Diceros bicornis minor: one gene and its partners. The protein of the gene in region 1 binds, or shares a complex with, the protein of each later gene. Links are inferred from orthologs where the notes say so. Each region holds a gene or a part of one and is shown in the gene's direction. Other genes may lie near its edges. The genes, in order: RAB9A, SGSM1 and NDE1.

Region 1 (6,938 bases):
TATTGAATGTCACCTCCACTCTTCTGAGCTCTCCTAGGAAAGGGCCTGAATCGATTGTATTCACCAAGGTAAGGTCATATGATATAAACACAGCTGGTGGATGGGAGCGAAAACGCAGGGAGGGTGCCTGGGGACACCCCCTGAATTCCTCCTCAGTCTTGTCTACCTCTGTATTCTCAGCACCTGGCATAGTGTATGCACTCACTATATATTTGTTGAATAAATAAGTATTAATGTGAAATGACTTTTCGTTTTCTGCAAATCTTAAAATTACCCAAGGGGAGAGAGTAGCTGTGTGTCTATGCTGCAGGTATTGGAAGGGTTTGGGCTGGTGTGGTGGTTACCCACTAACTTGGGAGGTGCCAGTTGGGTTGGTTCCTGACTCCCATGCTCCCCCTCTCCCGACAGTGGGCAGGCTGATGGAAGGAAGTGTATTGGTGGCTTTTGACAGCCAGGTGGCCATTCAGCATCAACCACTGGACGGAATTCATGGGACCCATGAAAGGATATATGCTCTATCATGATTGTGGGTCCATTTCCATTTGATCACATCAACCTGAAGATTGCAAATTCTGAAATTTGCTCACTGATGATATATAGATTAAGGGTGATGCTACTATTCCTTTTTTGGATTCAGTACTCCTTTTTAAACTAAGCAGTAAAGAAATCAGACTTCTGGTATTTCCTCATATATTGAGATTTTATCTGACTTAAGGATCAGGAACAAAAGTTCTGTATTAGTGTAAGAAACATGCTGAATTTAGTTTCAAGACAAACAGGAAGAGTGTGACATTGGCTTGAGATATTGACAATATAAATATATAAATACATATAAATAAATGTTAGATAAATATTTCAATATCTATTGAAAAGTTATATATTATAAAAAGTGCTTCCTCCACCAAATTGGGATTTTCCTCCATATACTATTTGGTAATGTTCTTTTTCACTTAACATTATTTATTGTTATCTATTTTCACTCTGACTTTAAAGCCAAATATAACAGATTTTGAATTACTTTTTATGCTTTTCTTCCTTCTTAGTACAGCTATACAAGAGCATCTATGCAATATTGAGAACAAATCTCTTATTTTTGCCAATGACTTGGGAAAAATATCAAATTTCTGATTGTTTAGATATCATTTAATGGTCAAATTGCCTACCATTAAGTTCTGTGTTTTTCCTTATATGTGAAAAGTATAATCAATTTAATTATAATCAGTATTTATTACACTTGAGTCTGGGGCCCACTTACTTGTGACTTTTCATCAGAGATACCAGAGGTGACTTCTTTCAGACTCCAGCTTGAAATGGGGTATTAACTCCCAGTGCTCATAGTAACAAGTAAGTGTCATTTAAGGGAAGGAATTGTAACCGAACTCAATGGGTCTGTCTCTTGATGAGTGCAGAGCCAAAAATCACGACAACCAAGGCTGAAGTGGATGAAGAAAAAAGGTTTATTGCTTGCACAAGCATTGGGGAACACCAGGGATAGTCCCCAAAGCAGTGCACCCCCCCAGCCCACCAGCTTAGTGCAGTTGAAGACTTGATACTCCAGAGTGCAGAGGATATGTTACAACTGTGTAACAACTGGGCCTAATCAGGGTGCATGTGCAAGCCGTTACATAACCCCGTTCAACGCCATTACACGATGAGCTCAATGTAACATGCCATTCCATAACAGGTCCAAGGTAACTTTTGGACGCTTCCCGCTGGAGCGGTTTGCAATGGTCCTGCTGCAACCGTGTAAGTTTCACTGTAGGATGGCAACATCTGCAAAAAGGAGGACATCAACTTCTGAAAAATAGCACATTTAATTTTCTCATTGTCTGGAAAACATTTGACAGACTATGTTTAGTTGCGGATCAGATTTTCATTAACTCTTTCCTTGCCTGGTTTCTGGTCATAGAATCATTAATGCCTAGCAACCTTGACCTCTTTTTCCTCCATGGGTGATGCATTACAAGTTTACAGAATATAAAGACGAATATTCTAATTAGATGAAGGGCGTCAAACTAGGTCAGTTCTTAAATGTTTTTTGTCAGTCAACAAATTCATGGAACAAGAGAGATAGAGACCATCTATCTAACTTGTGTCAGCTTGCCAACCACGCACACCCAACAACAAAAATCCCCCAAACTCACGCTCCAGGGACAAATCTTGTGACCCACCCTACTCTTGCGCTGTCAAATCAATTAGGTAAAGAAGTGAACAGTAGAAGAGACCAGAATATAAGAATATTCTTGTGTCAGTTGGCTAGTGTCCAAGTAATAGTTATTTCAGAAAAAGTAACTTTCCTCCTTCTTTCTTCAAGTGCTGACTATAAGCTACACTCTGATAGGTTTGTATGCCTCACTTACGTTTTGGAATAGCCTAGGAATCACTTGTAGGACCTTCTTAGATCCCTTTTTTGAAAACTCTTGGATTTCTCAAGTCTTACTACTTGAAGTCAAGATACAATAATTCCGTGAGAGCACTTGTTAATAGCTGGTTGGTATTAGCAGTTGCAGAGATAAAATCCTATTCCATCACTCCTTGACTATGATTATGACATAGGATTTTCAGGTAGCATTTTCTTAGTGATCCCGTGGATTGCTTGTTGCAATTTAGTACATAACACTTTATATATTTTTTCTTTTGGAAAATTAACTCTAATGTTCTTATATTTTTATTGCATAGTTTTAATTATGTGTTTTAAAATAAGGTAATGAATATCTCTTCCCCCTCCCTATTTTCAACAGATTTGTATTTTATAAACCTTTACTCATACGTCCTTGGGGAAATATCTGCATGGATAAAACATAGATTTTTTCTATAAAAGAAAAATTCATTTAAGCTCAAACTAGAGCTCAATCTTTATTACTCATTTATGCCTCATTTTCATGAGTATTCTAAAATTGTCTCTTATACTTGTGAGAAACTCTCTCAAATATAACCTTTCTAGTGCTGAATGAAAAGACTACATTAGATTCATTACCTGAAAATGACTCCCCAAAGAGCCAGAGGTTATTTAATGGTTGTGGGCCTAGCAAATCATAAAAGTGAGATGCTTCTCTTAGAAAATAAACTAAATCTACCCCACAAAATATATTGAGAGGTCACTAAAAGTCCTTCGGATCTCCAGGGGCCTATATCGTAAGATCCATGCGCGCGACCCAATCTATAAAGACAGGAATTAGAAGAGCTTCCCCAATACCGCCTTTTCCCATTACTGCTTTATATTTAGAGATGACCGAGGCAGTATTTTTTTTAAATTTTTTATTGATGTCATAATAGTTTATAACATTGTGAGATTTCAGTTGTACATTATTATTTGTCAGTCACCATATAAATGCGCCCCTTCACCCCTTATGCCCCCCCCAACTCCCCCCTGGTAACCACCAAACTGTTCTCTCTCTGTGTTAGTTTCTATTCTACATATGAGAGAGGTCATACAGTGTTTGTCTTTCTCTGACAGAGGCAGTATTTTAACAAGATTAAAGAAAAATTTTAAATTTAAAAAAGTTCCTGTTGTTCCACAATATCACAGCTGTTTTCATTTTTCATTTACCCTTTTGTTCTTTGCACATTCATTTTCTCATGGTAATCACAACATCCTTGTGATTGTGCTTATGCGATCTGTTTATTTCCACTCTATGTAAACTTTTAAAGATAACTATCATTTCGTGCTGTCTCTCTCCGGAACGCAGCCGGAGGACACGAGGAACCGCAGACCCCATGAAAAACCGTGCTTCAGAAAGGACAGGCGGTCAGGGAGTGGGCGAGGGCGGGGCGGACCGGGACCTCGAGGCCCCGCCTCCCCGGGCTCCATAATCTAGGCCCCGCCCCACCGCCACGGGCCCCGCCCCGCCTCTCCAGGGCTCCGCCGTCCAGGCCCCGCCCCGCCTCCCCGGGCCCCGCCCCGGCCTGTCGCCATGTTGTTCCCTCTGTGCTGGACGGGAGCAACTGGAAGCGCACACGGTTAGCGCCGCTGCCTCCTGCCCGCCAAGTCCCGAACCCTCTCTTCCTCGTTGCACCCAGACGGACCGGCCCGGAGCTCCCCGGCGTCCTCCGTGTGGCCGCGAGGTGAGCGGGGCGCGGACTCCCGTCGGGGCTGGGCGGAGACAGGGGTCGGGTGCGCGGGGCGTCAGGGCCTGAGGGAGCCCCGCGGGCGGCCTGGGCTTCGGGCAGCTGGGGCGGGGGGCGCGCGGGGCCTGCGCGGGTCACTCGTCCGCCCCGGGACGGGGGACAGCTTATCGCTCGCTGCCTCCTATTGACTGACGCAGAAGGAAAGAGGGGTTCCCACACCCACACACCCGGGGAGAGGGACTCACACCCAAACACGCGGGGACGCCCTGAGAGACGCCCAGACATCCGGGGGTAACACACACACACCTGGGAAAAGAAAGATCCACAAACAGGGACACACGACCACCCTGGGAAAGAGAGATCCGTGAACACCTGGGGACCCACACATAGCCAAACACCCAGGGAGAGAGAGACATACACGCAAACACCCGGGGAAACACACGCACAGGGAGAAATATACCCGTCACCCAGGGACACACCCAGACGCCCCAGCCCACCCAAACCAAACTCTACCCTCGAATGGTTAACGTAGAGAAAGCAAAGGCGCTCTCACAGTTTGATTTTGGTGACCTCTGACCCGCTGCCCAGGTGAGCGTTTGCTACTGTGTTCTGAGCACTCAGGTGAGGCGTTTGGAATGTAAAGCCACTCCTAGGGGCTGAAGGCGGTTTGGGGCGTTATCTGATTCAAACTCTGGCTAAGGTTTCCGAATTGTGTTCCTTTCTTTCTTCCAACTGACTACGTAAAGAGGCCGGATGAGAATTTTAAGTGCAGACCAGAGCTGTGGAGGTATTAGTTGGTTTTGTTGTTGGTGTTTTTTCTTTTTAAGTGATGACACATCCCGTGACCACGGTTCTTTTGAGGAATGACTTTTCTGCTGGGTTCCAAATTGTCACGTGACCATAATCTTTTTATAGAATTTCAGCGTCCTGAGAAAATCAATACACAGAATTTGATTGCTTTTTTAAAATTAAAAATTTTTTTTACATGTTTGTCTTTCTGTCTCTGGCACCTCTGTAATGGAAAAATCCCTAAATTTCCTGTAATCTCAGAAACTGTTCATTGGAGTAAAACTGTAGAGATGAAGGAAACCCAGAACTCTTCAGTCAGGGACTTGTAAGAAGAGTATTCTTAGTTTGTCTTTTAGAAGTGTCTGTTGAAGTCATCATCACTACTTGTCTAGAACTTTCAGTGACTTATTTAGATTCCCGAACCTAGGATGATGGTTTGGCAGTCTGGTGCTTTTTGTATTTTTGTGTAGACATTGTAGTAAATTCCTCTTGCTTATACTAAAAAGTTTCCGGCTTGTTGACTTGTTTATTTTGGAGTTTTGTGATTTGGGGATATTTTTGGTTTATCCTTTGTGAGGTTAGAGTAGCCCGAGGAAAACTAAGTTGAACATCATTGGCCTTGACTCCAAGCCGGCTTCTTGGAGAAATGCTTGGGAAATACTTTAGTGCTAGTTGCTCATTGCCAGCCTCTCTCTCTTTTCATTTCTTTCCATCTCAGCCACTTCTTCCATCTAGACTACAGTGCCCTGGAGGCCTGAAGATAGGTTCCTTTGGTTGTGGAAGTTAATTTTTAGCCTTCTCTCATTTCTTAGCATTTCTTGGGCAGCCACTCGGGCACTGGATGTTCTGTGCATGTAAATCCTGTAATATATCATTTCATTTAATTCTCACAACATTTCTGCGGTATTAGCTCCATTTTACAGATGAGGAATTTGCTGGAGTATAGGAGAAGTAGAACTGTTTCCCGTGGTCACACAGGTAGTGAGAGGGCAGAGCCAGGATTCAGTCAGGCCTGTGTGAGTTGAGAGGTGTAGTTCTCAACTGGGGAACATTTGACAATGTCTGCAGGCATTTTTTTTTTTTTTTGGGTGAGGAAGATTCGCCCTGAGCTAACATCCGTTGCCAATCCTCCTTTTTTTGCTTGAGGAAGATTGGACCTGAGCTAACATCTGTGCCCATCTTCCTCCATTTTGTATGTGGGATGCCACCAGAGCATGGCTGATGAGTGGAGTAAATCCGTGCCCGGGATCCGAACCCACGAACCTGGGCAGCCGAAGTGGGGCACACGGAACTTGAACCACTCAGCCACGGGGCCGGCCCCTCTGCAGGCATGTTTGGTTCACACCTGAGAGGGAGTGCTGCTGGCATCTAGTGGGTAGAGGCCAGAGATGCTGCTCAACATCCTACCATGCAGAGGACAAGCCCCCCACGGCAAAGAGTTGTCTGGCCCAATCTGTTACTAGTGCCAGGGCTGAGAAACCTTGCTTTACAGCAGTCTGTGTGACTCCAGAGGTAACGTTTCAGCACCTCTGTAATTCTTCAAATGCGATGCCGTTTTCCTATTTAGGATACCTCCCCATCGTTTGAAGAAAGAGCTGGGGGAAAAATTTGAGAACTTGAAGACGTTTCCCTTGACTAAGAGGCATATTCATTCATTTGAAAGATGAAGAAGTAAGCAAATAATTTCTGATAACAGAATCCTTTTTTTTTTTGTTTTAAGGCAAAAGTGTCAAAGAGAACTTGAGAGCCGTTCCGAGCCGTTCCGAGCCGTTGAAGTAGACTTAGGGAGTTTGCTTTCTGTATTATTCCAGTTGTCAACAGACATTTTCTGAGTATCCTGTGGGGCACTGATACGAAGCTGCTGGTGATATGAAGGGCAGTGGGCAGTCCCCACCTCCCCGAAGCTTCCAGTCTAATTACCATCATAACATCAGGTTTTGATTTTGTCCTAGAACAAAATTTATTGCCCGGGCTACTCAAAATCAGGGGCCAGGTATCATTAAAAACAAACAAACAAAACAGCTGCACACCCACACACAGGTACCTGTATCATGGCATTTACTGTGGGCGGACTTAAGTGG
Region 2 (7,767 bases), on another chromosome or scaffold:
CCAAAGAGGTGAAAGAGCTGTACACGGAAAGCTGAAAGAAATTGAAGAAGACACAATGAGATGGAAAGAGATTCCGTGCTTTTGGATTGGAAGAATTAACATAGTTAAGATGTCCATACTTCCTAAAGCCATCTATTGATTCAATGCAATCCCTATCAAAGTTCCAACAACGTTTTTCACAGAAATAGGACGAAGAATCCTAAAATTTATATGGAACAAGAAAGGACCCCGAATAGCTAAAGGAATCCTGAGAAAAAAGAACAAAGTTGGAGGTATCACACTCCCTGATTTTAAAATATACTACAAAGCTATAGTAACCAAAACAGCATGGTACTGGCACAAAAACAGACACACAGATCAATGGAATAGAATCGAAAGCCCAGAAATAAACCCACACATCTATGGACAGCTAATCTTTGACAAAGGAGCCAAGAACCTACAATGGGGAAAAGAAAGTCTCTTCAACAAATGGTGTTGGGAAAACTGGGTAGCCACATGCAAAAAAATGAAAGTAGACCCTTACCTTACACCTTAAACAAAAATTAACTCCAAATGGATTAAAGACTTGAATGTAAGACCTGAAACTATGAAACTTCTAGAAGAAAACATAGGCAGTACGCTCTTCGACATCGGTCTTAGCAACATCTTTTCAAGCACCATGTCTGACCGGGCAAGAGAAACAATAGAAAAAATAAACAAATGAGACTACATCAAACTAAAAAGCTCCTGTACAGCAAAGGAAACCATCAACAAAACGAAAAGACAACCTAACAATTGGGAGAAGATATTTGCAAACCATACATCTGATAAGGGCTTAATCTCCAAAATATATAAAGAACTCATGCATCTCAACAACAAAAAAACTAACAACCCAATTAAAAAATGGGCAAAAGACCTGAACAGACATTTCTCCAAAGAAGATATACAGATGGCCAACAGACACATGAAAAGATGTTCAAAATCACTAACTATCAGGGAAATGCAAATCAAAACTACAATGAGATATCACCTCACGCCCCTCAGAATGGCTATAATTAACAAGACAGGAAACAGCATATGTTGGAGAGGATGTGGAGAGAAGGGAACACTCACACACTGCTGGTGGGAGTGCAAACTGGTGCAGCCACTATGGAAAACAGTACGGAGATTCCTCAAAAAATCAAGGATAGAACTACCATGTGATCCAGCTATTCCACTGCTGGGTATTTATCCAAAGAACTTGAAAACACCAACTTGTAAAGGTACATGCACCCCTGTGTTCATTGCAGCGTTATTCACAATAGCCAAGACTTGGAAGCAACCTAAGTGCCCATCAAGGGACGAATGGATAAAGATGTGGTATATATACACAATGGAATACTACTCAGCCATAAGAAACGATGAAATCCAGCCATTTGTGATGACATTGAGGGTATAATGCAAAGTGAAAAAAGTCAGAGGGAGAAGGTCAAATACCATATGATTTCCTTCATTAAGTAGTAGATAATAACAACAATAAACAAACACATAGGGACAGAGATTGGATTGGTGGTTACCAGAGGGGAAGGGGGGAGGGAGGAGGGCGAAAGGGATAATTCGGTACATGTGTGTGGTGATGGGTTGTAATTAGTATTTTGGTGGTGAACATGATGTAATCTATGCAGAAATAGAAGTATAATGATGTACACCTGAAATTTTTACAATGTTATAAACCAATGTTACTGCAATAAACAAAAAATTAAAAAAATAAAATAAAATAAAATGGAGATAATGGGAGGAACCTACATCATGGGGTGGTTTGGTGAATTAAATGAGATAATACGTGGGAAGTTCACAGCACAGTGCACGACACATTTAAGTGCTCAATAAATCACAGCCATTATTATCATTGTCACACTATGAATTGTGAGGTCCTGCGTTGCGCCAGTTACCAACGTATTGCCTCTCAGCTCCAGATTCCTTCTTCAGCGCTGACTCCTCCGTAAGAGGCAGGACTTCGCAAGCATTTATGCTGAGCACGATGCGGAGCCTTCTCGGTAGAGGGCGCTAAGGGACACTGCAGGAGAAGCCTGTCTCATTCGTTCTGGCGGCCGCACGGGCGGCCAGCGGCGCGGGTATGAGGCGTAGCCTGGGCAGCATGGGTCAGAAGATGGGATTCTCAGACCCTGGGGCAGAAGGCTTTGGGACCCTTGAACATTTTTGCGCTCAGGCCTCAAGGGAGAGTCCAACTCTTCCCAAGCTGATCTTCGGTGATGGCGCCCCTGGTGGTGAGCGGTCCAACTGCAGCGGAGAGAACCGAGCTCAGACACCTGAGCAAGCTCTGATCCCGTCCGTGCCCACCTTCCTGTGGCTGTTAAGCCGAACACCGTCAAGTCCTTTATCTTGAAAGAAAAACTCCAGGTTTTCAGGGAAGGACCCGCACAGGTCAACTTCCCGGGCTTAGTGCTTGGCAGGGAAAGGAAAAACGTGGGTTTCGAAAAATGGCTCCCCAGAGTGAGACTTAGGCAGCCTGCTTTTCTCAAGTACCCCGGTTAACTTAGGGGTGCAGTCGGGGGGGGGGAACACCACTGGATCAATCTCGGGCCTTGAGGTTAGAATTCTGGCTGCTGCTCATTTGCTGTGTAAGCTGGGACAAAACCCTCTGTAGGCTTGGCTTTTTTTTCTCCATGAAATAAAAATCCTGGGGGGGAGGGGGGACGTGGACAATAAGATCATCCAAGCAAAGCCTGAAGCCCTTAATGTAGTGGCTGGCACATAGCGGGTCCTCAATATATGGTTATAATATACGGGGGGCAGAGGGGTGGGAGATTTGCTACCAAGCAACCATTTTGCATTCTCAGGGCTCCTAGGGGATTCACCACACCCTCACTGGAGATAGTGGGGTGGTAGGATTGTGAGGGAGACTACCCTCCCCCAGCGGGGACAGGGATGTGTCCCAGGCCGGGCCAATCAGACGCTCCCTCCCTGGAAGGGGAACCCTAAACAGATGGAGCTCTTTTCACCTGAGTGGTGGTGCCCTAACCACACTGTCTCTGTCAGTGACTATTCCCAAGAGTCTCTCCTGTCTTCTGGAGTGGCCTTGGTTTCATCCCATTTCTGAGTTCTCGAGGCTCCCCTGGACTCGGGGAATGCCCATTATCCTTCCAGTTTATGCCCTTTTGCCTAAGTTAGACCAAGTCAGCTTCTGTGGCTTATGGCCAGAGACCCCTGAGACTGACAAATGGAAAAGAGGGGACTCTGGATCCACCACTGCAGGGAGAGGGCACACTCTGAGCTGTCCTCAGTCCTTCTGAAGGGAGGACTGAATACTGGGAGGCCTTTGGGGGCAGGATGCAAATCCTTAAAGTGGACTTCAAGGCCTTACAGGACCTTGGCCCACCACTGTCCTCCCTGTACATGCCACTCCAGCCCCACTGGCCTCCTAGCTGTTTGTCACACGCAGGGGGCACACCTCCACCTCAGGGCCTTTGCACTTGCTGTTCCCTTTGTCTGGAATGCTCTTCCTCCAGAAATCCCCACAGCCCGCTCCTTTTCCTCTTTGCCCCAATGTCACCTCCTCAGTGGGGCCTCCCTCAACTGCCCTACTTCAAAATACAAACCCCACCCCTCTGGGCCCTCCCTGTCGTCTTTGCCTACTTCATTTCTCTCCAGAAACTTCCAACACACGATAGCATCTGCTTATTTATTTTGTTGTCTACCTGCCAAGCCTCATGAAGGCAGGCTTTTTGTCTGTCTTGCTCAATTCAGTATCTCCAACACAGTAATGTGGCACATAGTAGGTGATCAATAAATATTTGTAGACCTGCGTTGCATTCTGGGTGGACGCAATCATGAACTTGGCGGAACAAGCCTCAGTCCCAAAGCGCCCATTGCCTGCCCAGCCCTGGAGATCCTGGCTGACAGGTGCCCCTACTGGGGTCTGGGAGGCCCTCACTCTCCCAATGACCTGCATATCGGGGAGGGAGGGAGCCACTTAAGGACTGGCCTCTCTTGGATGAACAGGCAGTATGCCTTAGAAAACTCTCAGTAATAATAATAATAATAATAATAATGATGATAGTAATAATAATAATAAATTAGTGGTAATAGTAGCAGCAGCTATCTTTTATGGTGACTGGCCTTTGTTTCTCAGGTCTGTGCTAAGCACTTTACATTCAATACCTCATTTAAGTCTCATAACATTCCTACGAGGGTAATCATATTATACCCATTTTAAAGAAGAGAAAACCGAGGCTGGGAGAGTGTCAGTAGCCGCCCCGCCATCTCCCGCCACTTTCTGGAGCCTGGCACAGAACAGACATTGGAGAAATGATGCTGTCCCTCCCTGCCCCAGATAAGGGCGGGACGTGGGGCGCTGGGCGTGGAGGTGGGGGTTCCCCGGGAGGCCCGGGCGGGATGGAGGGCGCGCGTCCGGCGGGAGGATGCTCGCGCGGTCCCCGGGGCCCCGCGGCGGCCGTCCGGAGGGCGGGGCCCCGCGCGGCGGGCCCTGACGTCACTCGGCGCTCGGCCCCGCCCCGCGGCCGCAGCTGCGGAGCCGGCGAGCGGAGCCGCCGCCCGGGGCGCGGATCGCACGGCCCGGCCATGGCTGCGGGGCTCGCGGGTGAGCGCGCGCGGGCGCGGGGCGGGGCGGGGAGGCGGGAGGGCAGCCCCGGGCCCCGGCCCCAGCCCCCGCTGACCGGCCGCCCTCCCGTCTTGTCCTCAGAGGCGGAGACCCGGCAGAGGCTGCTGCGCACCGTCAAGAAGGAGGTGGGTGCCGGGGCGGCGGCGGGGGCGCGACCCCCGGGGCAGGGGGAGAGGTCTCCCGAGGAGGGGCGGCCCCTGGCGGCGGGGGCGGCCGCCTCGGGGGTGGGGCTCACCGGGGTGGGCATTTACCTCCCGCAGGGCTGGAGGCGGATGAGTTTGGGGGTGGGGGCCTCAGGTACGGGGGGCTCTGGATGTTTTTGTGCTGTGTGCCGGGGCACGTGCAGCTGCGGCCCCTCCAGGTGTGCGGCACACCTGGCCGTGTCTGGGTAGGACTCCCTCCTGTGGAGGAGCGGGTGGGTGGGTCTCACTAAGGGGAGACAGGCACCTGGGGGGCAGACAGGCGTGTTGGGGGGAAGGCTGCAGAAGGAGGACCAGAGTTCAGAAAAGGGAGAAGATTCACTTTGGGAAAATCAAGTCTCCCCCCATCCCCCTACCCCACCCCCAAATTCTCAGTCCTTGGACGCCCCCCAGGAGCCAGGAGACTCCCTCCCAGAGAGTCCCTGGTCAGCGGGTTACTCCATTTGCGGGCATGTGCCCACGCTCTCCTGGCAAGCAGGGTCCCTTCACCCCCCACCCCCACCCCACTCACGCAGGAGGGTGAGAATCAGACAGGGTCCAGCTGCCCCTCTGCCCCTTCACTCTCCCCAGGGGCAGCCGGGAGCCCAGTCTAGCTTTAGAGTTCATTGCCTATGACTTCCCACAGAGGGGGAGCATCTATATTCATGGGGGCTGGGGGAAGCATTTAGATGCCTGGACTGTACGTGTGCGAGTGTGTGTACGAGCGTGCACACGCCTGTGTGGGTGAGGACATGTGGCTGTGAGCGTGTGTATCTGACATTGTCTGTGCTTCTGTCTGGAGATATCTGTGTATCTCTGTGTATTGTGTGTACATGTGTCTGTGTGTTCACCTGTTTTTGTGAGGATGATGTGTATCTGTGTGATGCAGGAATGTGCATAAATGAGTGAGGCTGTGACTGTGTGTGTGTGCATTGCCCTCCTCACGTTACCCCACATCCCTCAACCCCGGACCCCATTGCTGCCGAGCCTGCGTCACCTCTGTATCTTGAGTCCTCAGCCCGAGACCTCACATGGCTGCAGACCTTGGAGGCTGGCTTGATTCCCGTGCCTCTGTGTGTGTTGGGGGTGTTAGCACACGAGAAGCCCCTCCCTGCATGATGGCAGGCAGCCACCAAGGGCAGCCTGTTGCTGCCTCTTCCTCCTCTGGGATCGTGGGTGTGTGTCTGTGTGTATGTCTCTGTGTGTCCCACGTTGTTTAAAGAAACAGCTCCAGGACTGCTTGCACATTCTAGCATTTCTGAATAAGGAGACATACAGGATACAGAAAGGCCCAGAACTTTTTAGCTCAGCCTTGGGAAGAGACCCCTGCGGGGATCTGAAGAAAGCTCTGTCTAGACCCTTTTTCCAACAAAACCTACAGACGCACAACATTCTGATGACTGTTCTGGGGGAGATTCCCCCAAAAGCCTTCAGGTTAAAAACCTGCAGTCTCTTTATTCATTGTTTAACTGAGCCCAGGTGTAATACGTGCTCCCCAGATGTTTTCACCTGAAATGGCTGTGTTTTTAAGGACATGGTTGGCCCATTCAATTGGGAGGGGGGCTTCAGGCAGAAGAGTGTGTGACCAAGGTGTCTGGGGAGGGCAGTGCTTCCCACCTCTGGGCAGGGTTCTGGGTCCCTTGGTGCCCTGGACAAGTCCCTTCCCCTCTCAAGGACACAGTTTCCACATCTGGAGAAGGAAGCATTGGTTCAGTGTCCTTGGAGGTCCCATTCATGTCAGTCTGGTTTGGGTTATTGGCCAGGCCGTGGGGGACACTTTGCCCCTGGTGGCCAGTGGTCTGGGCCTGCGTCCCCTCTCCTGGGAGCAGCGGAGTTTGGGACTTGGAATGAGCCGAGGCCATCTCTTGATGAGAGGGACCTCTTGGCATCCTGCTTGGTGCCTGAGGGAGGCGGGGGGCCTCAAGTGCCCATTGACCCTGGATCTGCAATCAGAAGGCAGGACATACAGTCACACGTTGGTGGCTATTTCTCAATTCTCCATTTCTTGGGGCACATCATTTTAGTAATCAGAGCTTCCATTTACTGGGGGGTACTCTGTGCCCTACCCTGTGTGTGCAGTAACTTTATGAGGTGAGTGAGGTTGTACCCATTTTCAGACAAGGAAACTGAGGTTCGGAGGGGAGGAGTGAGTTGCTCAAGAGCACGCAGCCAAGAAGGCGCGGAACCAGGGACTTACCCCCGGGTCTGTCTGACTTCAGAACCAGGCTTTTACATGCCTATCCACGTCTACATAGCGCACAATCTTGGCTTGTGTGGGTCGTATAATTTCCATTGTATAGATGAGAAAACCGGCCCGGGGAGTGTAAGTGAGGGCACAGTGAAGGGGAACAGGTTCAAGTCTTCTGTCTGTGAGCCTCCTGTTTAGCATGGCTGCCCCTAAGGGGATGGCGACAAGTCCGTGTCCCCCAGAGCAGACCTCCTCTCTCCGCTCTTCCTCTGCCCACCTCTTTGGGGAGCATCTCTCCCAATATCAGAGAGCCAGTCTGCAGTGGAGTGGTGAAGGGAAACTCTTTGCCTAGAAATCTGGGAGGCCTCAGGTCTTCTTTCTCCCCACCTTCTGGGTTCAGAGGAACTACATCCCTGCCTGTCACAGCCTCGCCCGGGGGTGCCTCCCGTCCTTTCTGGAAGGGGTGGCCTGAGAGTCAGTTTCTGTAGATAAGCCAGGCAGGTCTGCAAGCTTTGCCTGAGCCGATGAAGCCACAAAGGCCGGCAGAGACTGTGGGGCTGGGGGAGCCGGTGTGACCTGGCACCACGAAGCGGATCAGGAAGGAGCTTTGGGCTCAGCCAGAGCTGGGTTCAAATCCCCGTGCGTTTATTTACTGAGGGGCGTCTGTGTGCCAGACACTGGGCTGGCCTCTGTGGATACAGCAGCGAACAAGATAGGCCCTGTTCTCTGGGGGCTTACTTTCCAGAACAGTAGACAGAGCCTGACAGCCATCCCGAGCTTAATTAAAAGGATAATTACAG
Region 3 (7,845 bases), on another chromosome or scaffold:
GGCCCTACAGTAGTGGGGCCCGTCAGGGACTAGTCCCCAGAGCTGCCAGCAAACTCACCTCTACCGCCAGCTCCACCTCCGCTCACATTCCGGCCCCGCCGCCTTCCCCCCGCCCCCCCCCCAGGCCCTTTGTTTTGATTCCCGACTCCGCAGCTCCCGCCGCCGCCGCCAAGCGCACCCTCCACTTCCGCTTCCGCACCGCACCTCCCCTGTCGCAAAACCGACGCCCTTCTTTCCCCCTCGCTCCGCCCCTTCCTCCGCCCTTCCCCCGCCGCCGCGTCCTCCCCGCGCGGGGCGTGCTGGGAACCCCGGGGGGGGCGGGGCCTCGCGGCCCTGCAGCCTCGTCAGGCTCAGTCCCCTCCCGATAAACCCCTAAATAGGCACCTTCCCGGGGGGCGACTCCGCTTTTTTGGGCGAAAACACCCAGTTTAAGGGGGTGTTCCCCCTGGCTTCTCGTTGTGGAGTGGAAAGGAACCTGAAAGCGGAGAATTAGGGAGCTTGGGAGGTGGAACCGGGGGAAAAACCCTGCCAACGGGGATTTGATACAACCCAGCCCTTTCGGTCTTTGGAGGGAAGGCGATTTAAATGGGATTTCGATGCAAAACCCGATCGTTTGGGCTTTTTTCCCCCTCTCTCGCTTTCTTGTCACGTGATGATTCTACTTTATTAAAAAAAATTTAAATGACGCATATTTTCCACAGCATCCTTCATCTAGTGCAGCCTAGTGGCGAGTGGAGAAAAAAATAGCCAACGGGGCTTCCCAGGAGGTCCTGCGGGCCGCGGGGCTCCTTGCAAAGTTGCGACCCAGCTGGCGAAAATAAAGTGCGTGCCAAGATTGGGCTGGCTATTGTCACCGACCATTAAGAGGTCCTCGTGACTTTAGGGAGAAAACCTAATTTTTAAAAGCCCTGGTCCAGAGCTTGTTACAAACGAGTACAACTTTGCCAGTGATAGGTTGGTTGGGCGAGCAAAAAGGAGAACTTAGAATTGCAAAAGCCTGGTGAAGCCAACAACAGCTTGTGTTTTACGTGGATAGATGTGCCACGTTTGCGGGGTTTTTTGGTTTTGCTTTTGGTGTTTAGCGCTTCCCAATCTTTACTTGTACCTGAAATAAATTTTTTTTAAAAAACTCCAAGCACAACCGTCATTTCTGAAACTGCCAGCTGCTCGCTATTTCCTGTTGCAAATTAAGGGAAAAACAAAGCACATATCTGAATCTAGACATAGTTTAGGATGTGCTAGCTGACTACTACGTACAAGTTCATTTCTGAAGTTTGCCAAGAAATAGATTAACTTTGCAGACGAGTCAGTAGAAATTGCCAAAAGAACTTTCTTCCCCCCCTGAAGTCGGCAGTGTGAGGCAATTTCATTAGGCAATTTGCATTAAGTGGGGGAGATTTCAGGGGAAGCTAATACATCCCTATAGACATCCTTACAGACATGTATTGTGGAGGGCAAGACCCAGCACGTAGCTGAAGAATCCTTTGTGCTTGTATTTCATTTTCCAGAACGCAGATGACAAGCACGCCCATCATCTGCTTGCTTAGGTATTTATTACTGCTGAGTAAATCTTCATTGTGTGTCTGTGTGGGCAGTATTTTCCAAGTGGGAATTAGAACAGATGAAAAACAACCCTGTTTCTAACGTTTTGGTTTTTTCAAGGTACCAAACAAATATGCTTCTCTTTGAAGGTGTTTTTCTTTCTCTTTTTTATTCTAGTTGAGTATCTCTGAACACAGACCCTATCAACGGAAATATAAAAAAGGAAACAAAGTAATTGTGAATTTTTTAAATTTCTTTTTAAAAAAAGGTTTTAGCCACAAAACATAATAAGAGCAGACACGTTTTATTTGACTTCACCTGGCCTTCTTTCAAGTCCAGAGCGGGGCCTGGTCTCAACAGGTGAGATGCAGGAAAGAAAAATGAATCAATCACACTAAATGGAACGCTAATGAAAAGTCTGAATTGCAAGTAATTTTTAAAGAAACGCAACTTTATTGTTTTCTATGGAGAACTAGCCTGGGTACACCAGCCCTTGGAAGCAGACCAAATCATATTATGAATCAAAACACAATTTGACATTTGTGAGAGTGCTTTAACGTTTTTCTTGAAATATTACTCTCTTCAGTATAGCCTCTGTTAATCTTATTCCTGGTTCTTTACTGGGCAAACTCTTTCATCAGAGAGTGAGTAACTTTCAGTTTTTTCCTTGTCCAAATTATAGTCTTCACATTTATGAAACCAGGATGAAGATTTATTTTTGTGCTATTTAAGTGACCCAGCTGCCACTAAAGGAGTTAATTCCCACAACTTCTCGTCTGCCTGTGTTAGGTTTAGTGGGTGGGTGTGTGTGTGTGTGTGTGTGTGTGTGAGAGAGAGAGAGAGAGATTAGCCCTGAGCTAACATCCATTGCCAATCCTCCTCTTTTTTGCTGAGGAAGACTGGCCCTGGGCTAACATCCGTGCCCATCTTCCTCTACTTTATATGGGACGCCCCCACAGCATGGCTTGACAAGCGGTGAGTCTATGAGCACCCGGGATCCGAACCAGTGAACCCCATGGCACCGAAGCAGGAGCATGCACACTTAACCACTACACCACCCAGCCGGCCCCAGGTTTAGCGTTTTGAATTCATAAATTATGATAGACATACTTAAGGAAGAGGAACAGAGGTCTGCTCATTCATATCTGAGAGCCACAAGGAAAACAAATTGAGTAAGAGAGGTAAAACTTTTAAAGTACACCAAAATTTCCTTTTCATTTCTAAGGTTTTACCTAATGACAAACCCATTTACCTAAACTCCTGTTCCTGAAAAGGACTTTAATGATAATCATTTCAATGTCCTCTCCCTTTTTTTAACGGAAAATGAAGGATATGGAAAATCAACCAGTTCAAATGACTTGATCAATGCCATTTAGTCTGATACCTCATCAATTTGTGCTTCAGTTTATCTGTAAACTGGGGTGATTACCCTCTGCCCAGAAACCTCACAGAATGGTGAGGGTCAAATAAAATTTTGGGGTGAAAGCAAGTATCAGAGCAAAAGTGTCAAGAGGGTGCAAATGATTTATTAGTATTTGGGACGCGGATGAAAGTTTCCTGAAAGACATTTTGGTACTTTCCTTAACCCTGTTGAAAGTAGGGGGTGGTTCCCTTTTGTGTCCCTGAGCTTTTTCAGGAAGCAGCAAGAGTTAAAACAAAGTAGAATTCAAGAAAGGTCATTCTTAATTTTTTTATTTTATTTTATTTTATTTTTTCCCGCAAAGCCCCAGTAGATAGCTGTATGTCATAGTTGCGCATCCTTCTAGTTGCTGTATGTGGGATGCAGCCTCAGCATGGCCAGAGAAGCCGTGTGTCAGTGTGTGCCTGGGATCTGAACCCGGGCCGCCAGCAGCGGAGCACGTGCACCCAACCGCTAAGCCACGGGGCTGGCCTGAGAAAGGTCATTCTTAACCATGGCAGGGAGGTAGGAGGGATTCTATGAGCGTGGTTGGAGGCCTCAAAGTAGCTAAGATCTCTTTGTCTCTAGCATAGTGCTGAAGCACAAGGGTGTAGGAGTCAAACAGACCCAGTTTTAAAGCCTGATTTGTTACAGCTTGTGAGACCTTGGGCAATGCATTTAACTTCCTGCACCTTTGTTTTCTCATCTTTAAAATGAGGACAATAAAAGTGCTTTTTTGTGATTCTCATCATTTGGGTCTCAGCCTCATCGTCACCTCCATAGAGCAGCCTACCCTGACCATCTGAAGTGACCCCCTCTAGCGCTTTCCTGCCAAATGACCTTGCTCTATTCATAGCACTTATTACCATCTGAAATTATTTTACTTTTTCTGTTTGCTGGTTTAGCGTCTTTCCTTCTTAACAGTATTAGCCCTTTGAGGACAGGCATCTTGTCTAACATTTATTGTGCCATAAGCAGGAGTGTGCAATAAATATTTGTTGGTGAATGATCAGCGTTGCTGTGAGAAATGAGAAAACCCACGTCAAGAAGTTAGCATTGTACCTGACACACATCACCAATTAAAAACTCAAGATCGTTTAACAAATGGATTGTACTTAATTATGTGCCAGGCACTGTCCCAAACTTTTTACGAAAGCTATCTCATTTAGTCTCTGCATAACCCTGTGAGGTAGAATCCTATCATGAACTCCATTTTATAGATGAGGAAACTAAGTCCCAGAGAGTATAAGTAACTTGCCCAAGATCACACAGCTCCTAAGGGGCAGAGCTAGAATTCAAAGCCAGGTTCGAGACCAAACTTCTGCAAAGTTTTGCTGCCTTTGAGAAAGAAGATAATGAGGTTGAAGATTTTAATTTGGGTGTGAAGGAGTAGGAAGGACATGGGGCATTCCTTAGCCTAAGCAGACCTGGATCTTTGTCCTTCCCTCTGATTTGGGGAAAGTGGAAAAATGGGGAAAATCTAATCGGTGACAAGGGGAGGAAGTCGTATTTTCATGAAGTCTGTGGCCCACAAGTCCAAGCCCATTCCCGGGGTGTCCGAGGAGCAGCCTGCAGGCTCCAAGGCCGGCCGGGTCCCAGCCCAGCAGCGGGAGTCTCCCAGGCCCCCTCCCGCCCAGGACCGCCGCGTGGCCGCGCCGCGCCCGGGGCCCTGGGAAAAAAGTTTCCAAACCGCGCTGCTCGGCGCTGATTGGCCGAGGCGGACGCGGTCCCGTGGCGCGGCAGCCAATGGGCGGCGCCGGACGCGAGCGCGGGGGCGGGGGCGGTGTCCGGAGCCGCTGGCCGCGCCGCTCCCCGCCGCCGCCGACGCCGCCGCCGCCGCTCCTGTCCTCGGCGCCCGAGCCCGGTAAGTGCGGAGCTGCAGCCGGCGGGGCTGGGAGCAGCGCGGGGGCCGCCGCCGCCGGGAAGCTCCTCTGCCCCGCCCCGGCGCCCGCTGCGCTCTCGGGACCCCCGGGCGCCGCCGTGCGGGGCCCCTGCCGCGCCCCTCGCTTGTGCATCGCTTCCCGGCCGCCCAGACTCCGCCGGTCCCGGGCGCTGGGCTGGAAAATCGCGCTGCCTGGGAGCCTCCTTCCCTAACTGGGTGCTTTCCCTCTCTTGTGTCCTCGCGCCCGGCTCCTCGCCCTTGCCAACTTTGTTTCCCTTTCAGCGCTGGTCTCGCTCGCACCCGCTGCCCTCCCCTCCCTCCTTGACTGCCTCGGTGCTTCTGCCCTCCGCGTCCTCAGTCGCCGCAGCCCGGCTCCTCTGCCCGCCCATTCCCTCCCACCGCACACTCCTCTCCTTGCCTCTTCTAGACTTTTCCAGCTCTGTTTTCTGCCCCTTCTCAGTCCCCGCCACGCCTTTCCTCCCGCTGCCCCCATTTCCCCCCATTCCTCGTAGCCCCCCTGCTGGCCCACCTACCCCCCCGCTTCCACCCTCAGCACAGGCCTCTCTCCAAAAACCTCCCCCCATCCTTGGCACTTCTCTCCCTTCGGGAACGTGTTTGGAACAGTCCCCTTCCCTGCGCTTTTCTCAGATCGCTGCCGCAGGACGGTTCCGATTTCCCTTGACAGCGCTCTGGGGAAGGGTTGGAGAAAGGATGAAAACGCCTATTCTACAGTTTGCATGCAGTGCCGGGCTTACCTGCCTCTCTGAGGTCATGGGAAACCCCGCCGTCACCTTGACACCGCTTTCTGGGACGCTACATTATCTCCTCCAGTCATCGCAGGTTCTCTGCCTCCTGAGGGTCTGAGCTTGCCTGATTTCTTTGTCCAGGGTTTGTACCAGGTTGTCTCTTTTCTACTTTTAGCCCAAGGCCCCTTTTAAGTTCACTTCTAAAGAAATGGCTTTAGCAGCGCTCGCTGGGCAGAGATTTGTCGTTTTCTATGCTAGTTTTGTTTGTGTATTCTGGGATAGCATGACATTTTAGGACATAGGGTGCTTTGAAGAGTAATTGAATCTCAGCGACTCCCAAGAGCCACCTGTTATCTGACCCCCCCCCACACACACACAATGGTATTGAACCACTTTTGAAACTTAAATCTTTCCTCTTAGTGTGTCTTTTGTGTCGGATTCCATCCAGATGCTCTATGTCCTTGAAGTCTCAGGGGCCTCTGATTGGTATGTTTTATTCCATTTTAGATAACAGTTTCTTAACTTGGCTTATTCTGTTAAGATGTTATTTTTGTTTCCAAAGTGTGTTCTTTTGCCTTAGAACTGTGAGCCCAGAGAGATTACACTCCCTTTCCTTACAAGATAATTTCCTACTAGCAGCACGCCTTCATACAGAAAGTTTGTGTCAGCAGCTAGTACTGTGTTTGCACCTAGTATGATGTAAGTGCTCTGTGCCTGCCTCTCCCAGTAGTGCCTACCACTTAGGTGTTCGGAAATGTCTGAAAAGGGATGGACGAGGGGGACACCACGGCAGGAAAAATTCTTTCCCTGGCATTTTGGTTCAGTAAAATAATATTATCCTGGAACAATAGCTATTCTATTTTTTATGTCCAAATTTAAGCTTCTTAAAATTTCACAAGCAATATATGGTCCCTGTAAAAGTCGGTGTAGGTAGTAGAGAAGGGTGTCAGGTACAAGTTGTCAACGCAGTGCCTGCTTTGCCCCCATTCTAGTACATCCTTCCAGACTCTTCTAAGTATGCAGAGGGAGGGAGATACATTTGTAAACAAAGTGGCATCCTTTGTTAACATATCATGAATTTTCTTCCATATTAGTACATATAATTCTTCTTAACTGCATAGTTTTCCGATCAGTGCTCTATTGAAGCACTCAGTGAAGTTTCTCTCATTTGCCATGTCAGTGAATGATGGTGTGCACCCCTGAGCAAATGTCTTTGCATACCTAAGGACTTTTGTGGGTAGATCATTACAGACTTTGAAAGCACAGACAGAAGCCAGACTTGCTGACTCTTGACTGATTCTGCCCCAGTGATGTCACTTCTGCAAAATGCAAAGCCTGTGTCATAACATAGAAGCTGTTGGAGCACGTGCCAGCATTTGGCAACTTTTTTCCGTTCCTCCCTTTCCCTTCAGCTCTTCCTTGTGTTTTCTTTGGGAAGGATTGGAGTTGGGGTGGAGAAGGGTGGTGAGCTGATTCCCTATGGTTTCTACTTGTGTGTTGCTCCTTACCAGCTGTGCTGGCTGTCTTCACTCCGACGAGAGCCAAGAAAGATTGCTTTGTTTTTTTCTAGAGTTTTGAAATCAAAGGTGTGTGTCTCAAGTGTGTTTTCAGACTTTCCTGTTAAATTCAATCATGGAAGACGTGCAAAAAAAAAAAAAAACTTTGCTGAAACACATTTTTGTAGGAATAGCGGGTCTAAGTTATGCAAAATAGAAAATAGATACTTTCCGAACCACTTGATTCCAGTTTGTTCTTCCTTGAGTGCTGTAGCAGATACATTTGAGGTGCCCATTAGATTTGTCCATAGAGCTGCTTGGGCGCGATGGCATATTGAGAACCCAAGTTAGGAGGCCTGACACCTGTAGCACTGATGAAATAAATGCATGCAATATTCATTTTTAAGATCGTGGGTGCAAAGTTGTGTGTACCGTGAACAAGCGTTAACATCTGCCTGTCACAGTGCCTTTTAAAAGACAGTGTAAGCCAAATGAAAGGAGTGACTCTGATCAGTCTGCTTGCAACCCTAGGGAGACCTTGAACTTGAATTCCAAGACCCCTGTTGCACTTGGGTCTGGTTTGCCTCTGCCACTCACTTGCACCCATGGAGATGGCCAAGGCATACAGTGTTTCTGCTCCAGCTTCATCTTCTAAGAAACCCAGTGATTGCCTTGCTTACTCTTACAGTTGAATAGCTTCAAGAAGATAAAGTTGTTTGAAAATAACTTAAGTGCCCAGCACACAGCAAACAGAAGTTGATGAGAAAATTCAGTAAATAA

The links.
Region 2: the proteins of RAB9A (region 1) and SGSM1 are in contact, whole or in part, in a crystal structure (PDB 4QXA), measured with the Mus musculus proteins. The link is inferred for Diceros bicornis minor from reciprocal best matches to the Homo sapiens genes RAB9A and SGSM1. Residues at the interface, in NP_062747.1 of Mus musculus: Phe37, Thr39, Ile40, Gly41, Val42, Glu43, Phe44, Leu45, Trp61, Arg68, Phe69, Leu72, Phe76; in NP_766306.2 of Mus musculus: Leu256, Leu257, Tyr258, Gly259, Lys260, Asn261, Asn262, Tyr277, Asn294, Met297, Asn298, Gln361.
Region 3: the proteins of RAB9A (region 1) and NDE1 are in contact, whole or in part, in a crystal structure (PDB 7E1T), measured with the Homo sapiens proteins. The link is inferred for Diceros bicornis minor from reciprocal best matches to the Homo sapiens genes RAB9A and NDE1. Residues at the interface, in NP_001182257.1 of Homo sapiens: Ile40, Val42, Phe44, Asn46, Gln59, Trp61, Arg68, Phe69, Ser71, Leu72, Pro75, Phe76; in NP_001137451.1 of Homo sapiens: Asp99, Gln102, Thr103, Ala105, Ile106, Gln109, Leu110, Tyr113.

Annotation. Positions count from the first base shown.
Region 1 is NC_080781.1:11,085,115-11,092,052, forward strand, and holds the start of RAB9A (ras-related protein Rab-9A), read left to right. Parts: upstream 1-3,925; 5' UTR 3,926-4,065; intron 4,066-6,938. UniProt on the Homo sapiens protein: The small GTPases Rab are key regulators of intracellular membrane trafficking, from the formation of transport vesicles to their fusion with membranes.
Region 2 is NC_080774.1:19,412,895-19,420,661, forward strand, and holds the start of SGSM1 (small G protein signaling modulator 1), read left to right. Parts: upstream 1-4,681; 5' UTR 4,682-4,725; intron 4,726-7,767. UniProt on the Homo sapiens protein: Interacts with numerous Rab family members, functioning as Rab effector for some, and as GTPase activator for others. Promotes GTP hydrolysis by RAB34 and RAB36.
Region 3 is NC_080765.1:35,288,431-35,296,275, reverse strand, and holds the start of NDE1 (nuclear distribution protein nudE homolog 1), read left to right. Parts: upstream 1-4,790; 5' UTR 4,791-4,805; intron 4,806-5,483; exon of another isoform or gene 5,484-5,711; intron 5,712-7,845. UniProt on the Homo sapiens protein: Required for centrosome duplication and formation and function of the mitotic spindle. Essential for the development of the cerebral cortex.